Linked DNA regions of Callithrix jacchus. The protein of the gene in region 2 interacts with the protein of the main gene of each other region in a biochemical or structural test. Links are inferred from orthologs where the notes say so. Each region holds a gene or a part of one and is shown on either strand. Other genes may lie near its edges.

Region 1 (3,500 bases), on a different chromosome or scaffold from region 2:
CTTTATCAACTTGGGAAATGTCATGAGAAAGACTATGGAAATGAGTTCCTGCCTGGAGTGCTTAGAACAGTGCATCAGCCTCTGTAGTCCTTTTTACCAGGGCAAAGCTGTACATTATGCTTGTAAGAATCATCCATATTGAATATGCCACTAGGGCTTTTTTTTTTATTGCTTTTAGTATAGAATAGAATAATAATAATTATTTTTTTTTTTTTGAGATGGAGTCTCGCTCTGTAGCCCAGACTGGAGTGCAGTGGCACAACCTCAGCTCACTACCACCTCTGCCCTCCAGGTTCAAGTGATTCTCCTGCCTCAGCCTCCCAAGTAGCTGGGACTACAGGAACACGCCACCATGCCCAGCTAATTTTTGTATTTTAGTAGAGATGGGTCTCACCATGTTGGCCAGGGTGATCACAAACTCCTGACCTCAAGTGATCCACCTGCCTTGGCCTCCGAAAGTGCTGAGATTATAGGCATGAGCCACCAGGATCAGCCAAATAATAATTTTAAGTAGAAAAAATTATCTCCAGTTGGTAGGAAAAGGTGGAAAATATGAAGCCCTCAAACAGATGGATCTAGATGGAAAATTTTGACTACTACTCATAGGCAACTATATTAGATTTTATTTATTTTCACTTTTTTTTTTTTGAGACGGAGTTTCGCTCTTGTTACCCAGGCTGGAGTGCCATGGCGTGATCTCGGCTAACCGCAACCTCCGCCTCCTGGGTTCAGGCAATTCTCCCACCTCAGCCTCCCGAGTAGCTGGGATTACAGGCATGTGCCACCATGCCCAGCTAGTTTTTTGTATTTTTAGTAGAGATGGGGTTTCACCATGTTGACCAGGATGGTCTCGATCTCTTGACCTTGTGATCTACCTGCCTCAGCCTCCCAAAGTGCTGGGATTACAGGCTTGGGCCACCGCGCCTGGCTATTTTCACTTTAGATTTCAGAAAGTTTGTGATTTAGCTTATCATTTATTGTGTTTCGTATATTTGGCAGATACTTGTGTTAGGAAATGCAGTATTACAAGAAAATGTTACTTTAGAAGTTAGCTGTTGACAGAGCCTTGGAGATTCTTAGTTATACAGATCCAGTGTTGAAATTAGGTGAAACTTTAATTTTGAGCAGTTAGAAAGGTGATCAGTGTCTACTCCCTTGCCTCTTTTTTTTTTTTTTTAGACAGAGTTTCGCTCTTGTTACCCAGGCTGGAGTGCAATGGTGTGATCTCAGCTCACCGCAACCTCCGCCTCCTGGGTTCAGGCAACTCTCCTGCCTTAGCCTCCTGAGTAGCTGGGACTACAGGCTCGCGCCACCATGCCCAGCTAATTGTTGTATTTTTGTAGAGACAGAGTTTCACCATGTTGACCAGGATGGTCTCAGTCTCTTGACCTTGTGATCCACCCACTTCGGCCTCCCAAAGTGCTGGGATTATAGGCATGAGCCACTGCGCCTGGCCTTCTCTTGCCTCTTTAACACAAGCCGAGGCCCTAGAGCTGGTTATCATGGACAGTAGATGTCTCGACTATGTCTTGCAGGAAGCCTTTGAGTTTAAGAAGCCAGTAAGACCTGTATCTCGTGGCTGCCTGCATTCTCATGGACTCCAGGAGGGTAAAGATCTCTTCACACAGAGGCAGAACTCTGACCCAGCTCGGATGGTATGTGCTCTGGCTCTCATAGAGGAATTACTGACAGGAAGAAAGGATTAAAACACCCTCTGTAATCCAGAATTGAAGGCACTACAGTAGCGCCAGCTGTCTTTACCTTGACTTTGTCTTTACCTTGACTTTGTCTTTACCTTGACTTTGTCTTTTGAAACTAGACTATCGAACATTCTTGGTGGTTTTGCTGTGTCTGGAGAGTAGACAGACTGTAGTTAGAGCAGGAGATGGTGTTTGAAATATTGGACTTGTGTAAGGAATATTTGACCTTGTTAATCTAGGAGATCTTGGGTCATCCTAAATGTATGTATGGTGGGATTACATTTCTTACTTTTTTTTTTTGAGGGGCTTTCTGGTAAAAACTGCAAAGCCTACCAGGCAAATTCTAAAAGAGTGTAACACTAGATCTCTTACTTAAAACTTGCTCTTTTACTATGCATTCTAAGTGCTTCTCAAAGAATGACTGTTGGTGAGAGAGCACTTGACTTCTTCCAAAGGTGGTTTGTTAAGAACTGTTATGGGCCAGGTGCCATGGCTCATGCCTATAATCCCAGCACTTAGGAAAATGGAGATAGGAGGATCACTTGAGTCCTGCTCAGCATAGTGAGACCCCCATCTCTCTCTCTCTTTTTTTTTTAATAACTATTATGGATTCCAGTGAACACTCAGACTGCTGGGCAGTTTTGGAGTCACTTGTTTTAGGGCTGTGTATTTGCCAGACAGAGACTGTCATTACTTCCAAAGTTTCCTGCTATTGGTCTGAATTGAATTAACCGATAGCATCTGTTGACTGGAGAGGCCCAACTTGAGCAAGATAACCACATTTGGCTTCCAGGTTTTCCTAGATTCTTAAATCTGAAAATACACCTTTCCAGCCTTGCTTGTGTTCTAAGGTTCAGCCAGTATCGCTACTGTCTAGCATTTGCACAAAGCACTTTTATATATCTTCTTGTCTTGTGAAGTAAGTGGAGTTAACCCCCTTGACAGATTAGGAAAGTACAAGAGAGGTTTACCAAAGGATATGTAAATAGGAGACTAGGATTTAATAATCTCTGGCTGGGCGTGGTGGCTTATACCTATAAGCCCAGCACTTTGGGAGACTAAGACGGAAGGATCACCTAAGGTCAGGAATTCAAGACCAGCCTTGGCAACATAGTGAGACCCTATCTGTAGAAAGTTAACAAGCTGAGTGTGGTGGCTTGTTCCTATAGTCCCAGTTACTTGGGAGGCTGAAGTGGGAGAATTGCTTGAGTCCAAGAATTCGGGGTTGCAGTGAGCTACAATCACGCCACTGTACTCCAGCCTGGGCAACAGTGAATCCCTGTCTCAAAAAGCAATCTCTGAATTCCCAGGTACACAGTAACACTTTAAGAGTTGGGTATCAGAAACAATATATTTTGTGTGTGCTTAGAGACTAGAGCCTGTATCATATCTGCACCTAGGGATCCCAGAAAATCCTCACAAAAGTTGGTGTGATATAGTGTGAGCCTTCGTGATAAAGTTATCTACCCCTAGGCTCAGCTGGCTTAAAAAAAAAAATTGCCGTTTCCCAGAGTGTGGTCAGGTATTCTTGGGGAGGACCAGAGATGCTTGTTTTATATTGCGAAGCAAAGCTAGTTTCAGAACCAGAATAGGCCAGCTGCAGAGAGGATTCCCTGGTGCATGATCCAGTCAGAAAACTGGAGGGCCACTTAACTAATGACAGATTCATACACCAGAGATTTGGATTTTAAAGATTACTTGTAGGGCTTAACATTGGAACCACATTGCTACTGTGAAAAAATAGCTCTAAGCTTTTTTTCTGGGCTTGAAAGTGCCTAGAAAAGAATTTAGTGTTAGCAG
Region 2 (3,500 bases):
TATTCCTATGGATATAGAAGTGGGAATTGCTAGTTCAAAGAGTGAGTATTTCACATTTTAGTATGTTTTGCCAAAATGCCTTCTGAGAATAGGGGGCTTTTTCTAACTCTTAAGACTGCGTTAGATTCTGTAGTGCTTTAAGATCCTGTGGTGCTCTATATTTTTATAATCTTCATAACAGTTTTCTATTGTCAGTCTTTACTGGTTTATCTGCTACCTGCATTGGCTGGCATAGTGTCTATCACTAAGTTGCAGTAGATATTCACTAAATATAAGTTAAGTCCTGCTTGCAGTTTGTGTGTATTAATGATGGGAAGTTAGGGTGGAGGTTTGGTTTTCTGATTTTTTTTTTTTTTTTTTTTTTTTTGGTACAGAGTTTTTCCTCTTTTTCTCAGACTCCCTACTTTGAAGGAAAAAAAAAGCATTGTGGTTTGTTGAATATTGCTTGGTCTTGAGATATTTTCTTCTGCTAACTGGGTTTGTTTGCTGCTGAGAAAGTTGTGCCTAACATATTACCGAGGTTACCTTCCTGCCCTCCACCCTACCTGATGAAGGGCTTTGCTTTGCTTTCAGCTCAAGTTTAAAGTGCTCTTTTCCAGAAGGGCAGCCCCTCTGACTCCACTTTCTTGCTTTAATCTGATCCAGACTGTTTTGCATGTTGATAATACTTCTTTTAAGTTAATAGAAGAGATGAGGCCTTTTTCTACTTTTAGCATAGGTGATGATATCTTTTATTTTTTTAGATTTGTTTATTTTGCTTATTTGAAGTTCTACAAACTTTAAGTAACATTAGTGATTTTTTTCTCAATAAAACTTATTCCTGCAAGTATATCTATTTGCAAAACATTTTTATTCAGTGCCATCTTTTTTTCTTTTGGTTTAGATAACCTCAAAATCTCAGACTTTGGCTTGGCAACAGTGTTTCGGTATAATAATCGTGAGCGTTTGTTGAACAAGATGTGTGGTACTTTACCATATGTTGCTCCAGAACTTCTGAAGAAAAGAGAATTTCATGCAGAACCAGTTGATGTTTGGTCCTGTGGAATAGTACTTACTGCAATGCTCGCTGGAGGTAAGAACTGCTTAATCATGGTAAAACTCCTGTCCTATGAAAAGTCAGATTAGTTATTCTGAAATAAATGAAATAAACCAAGGAATTCATATTTATATAATGGTTTTTTGTTTTCTTTTTTAAGAGAGAGGGTCTCACTCTGTTCCCCAAACTGGAATACAATGAGCTATACTGCAGCCTCAAGCTTCTGGGCTCACCAGTCCTCTGGCCTCACTATTTCAAGTAGCTAGGACCACAGCTGCCAGCCACAAGATGTCTGGCTAAGTTTTACAAATTTTTTGTAGAGTTAGGGTCTTGCTGTGTTGTCCAGGCTGATCTTAAACACCTGGCCTCCAGCAAGTCTTCTGTCTTCGCCTCCCAAACTGTTAGGAGTAAAGGCGTGGGCCATGGCACTCAGCTTCTGTAGCAGTATTTTAATAGTGTTTTGATCAGTTTGTGCTGCTGTAGCAAAGTATCATAGACTACATACCTTATAAACATCAAATTTATTTCTCACAGTTCTGGAGACTGAAAGTATGATATTAGGGGAACCAGCCTGGTCATGTTTCAGTAAGGGTCCTCTTCCTGATTTGCAGATGGCTGTCTTGCTGTATGCTCACATGGTGGGCAGCCAAGAGAGCTGAAGCAAGCCCTCTAGTATTTTTTTTTTTTTTTTTTGAGACCAGAGTCTCACTCTGTCACCCAGGTTGGAGTGCAGTAGCATGATCTCAGCTCATTGCAACCTCTGCCTCCTGGGTCTGGTGATCCTCCTGCCCCAGCCTCCCAGCTTACAGGTAAGTGCCATCCTGCCCAGCTAATTTTTATATTTTGAGTATAGACAGTTTCACCATGTTGTTGGCCAGACTGGTCTCAAACTCCTGACCTCAAGTGATCTGCTCACCTCAGCCTCCCAAAGTACTGTGTTGGGGGTGGGAGGGTATGGGTGTGTGTGTGTGTGTGTGTGTGTGTGTGTGTCTGTTGACCAGATCTTGTGAGACATTGTGTCTGAGTTTTTTTTTATTATTATTTGAGACAGGATCTCACTCTGTTGCCCACGCTGGAGTGCAGTGGCACAATTCAAGGCTCACTGCAGCCTTGACCTCCCAAGCTCAAGCAATCTTCCCACCTCAGTCCCCTGAGTATCTGGGACTGCAGGTGTGCACCACCACACCTGGCTAATTTTTTGTGTTCTTTTAGAGACAGTCTTCCCATGTTATCCAGGCTGGTCTTAAACTCCTGGACTCAAGTGATCTGCCTACCTTGGCTTCCCAAAGTGCTGGAATTACATAATTAGTACCCTATAAAAACACAATATTGGCTGGACACATGAGCCTTTATTAGATACTAATAAGGTCTTAATAAGGGCACTAATACCACTTTTTGAGGGATGCCATTCTCAGGACCTAATCACCACTCAAAGGCCCCACCTCCAAATGCCATTGCATTGTGAGTTAGGATTTCAACATGACTTTTGAGGGGGACACAAATGTTTAGTACGTTGCAAGTAGTAACTTACTTATAATCCCAAATATTTTTTTAAGATGAGGCATGCATACTTATTAAATATCACAGTACTTTTCTATGGATCATGTAAACACTTTTGAAAACAAGACTAGGGCAAGAAGTGATTCATCAATTTTTTTATTTTTTGAGACAAAGTCTTGCTCTGTCACCCAGGCTGCCGTACAGTGGTATGAGTTTTGACCTCTCAGACTCAAGTGATCCTCTCATCTTAGCCTCCTGAGGAGCCAGGACTACAGATGCATGCCATCACACCAAGCTAATTTTGTTTATTTTTTGTAGAGTTGGGGTCTCACTATGTTTCCCAGGCTGGTCTCAAACTCCTGGGCTCAAGCAATCCATCTGCCTCAGCCTCCCAAAGTGCTGGAATTACAGTCCTGAGCTACCATGCCTGTCCTGATTTATCTATCTTTGAAGTGTCTCTAAACTTTCCAAGTTGGGATTCTTAGTTTGAAAACTGTATTGAATTAATTCAAAGGAACTTTTCATGGATTTGTATTATTTTTCCTTGAAATCTTTGTAAATAAGAACATTCAAGAAAATGAACTTGCTTTGTTTTTAGAATTGCCATGGGACCAACCCAGTGACAACTGTCAGGAATATTCTGACTGGAAAGAAAAAAAAACATACCTCAACCCTTGGAAAAAACTTGATTCTGCTCCTCTAGGTAACTGGATTATCTTGAGTGAAAGAGTATTGATTTCTTGGATATGAAGTCTAATGCTATTTGAATTTTTTCTTATGTTTTTTTTTCTTTTAAATTTATGTCATGATTTTTATAAATTATTAATTGTAAATAAAAAGGAAAAAATAACTCTTTAGTCCCAGAACTCTGCAACAGATTTTTAAAAATATTTTGGGGAATGTATATTCAGAGCAACTTGAATCTATGCTTTTAAGTGGTTTTCTATTTAAAAATAAAAGTTTT

The links. The genes of interacting proteins can lie anywhere in the genome.
Region 1: of the proteins of CHEK1 (region 2) and CDC25A, one has a biochemical effect on the other in vitro, tested with the Homo sapiens proteins (7 studies listed by BioGRID and IntAct, with this or other methods). The link is inferred for Callithrix jacchus from reciprocal best matches to the Homo sapiens genes CHEK1 and CDC25A.

Annotation. Positions count from the first base shown.
Region 1 is NC_133516.1:30,863,477-30,866,976, reverse strand, and holds part of CDC25A (M-phase inducer phosphatase 1), read left to right. Parts: intron 1-1,535; coding exon 1,536-1,655; intron 1,656-2,001; exon of another isoform or gene 2,002-2,062; intron 2,063-3,500. UniProt on the Homo sapiens protein: Tyrosine protein phosphatase which functions as a dosage-dependent inducer of mitotic progression. Directly dephosphorylates CDK1 and stimulates its kinase activity. Also dephosphorylates CDK2 in complex with cyclin-E, in vitro.
Region 2 is NC_133511.1:25,243,875-25,247,374, forward strand, and holds part of CHEK1 (serine/threonine-protein kinase Chk1), read left to right. Parts: intron 1-883; coding exon 884-1,072; intron 1,073-3,134; coding exon 3,135-3,239; intron 3,240-3,500. UniProt on the Homo sapiens protein: Serine/threonine-protein kinase which is required for checkpoint-mediated cell cycle arrest and activation of DNA repair in response to the presence of DNA damage or unreplicated DNA.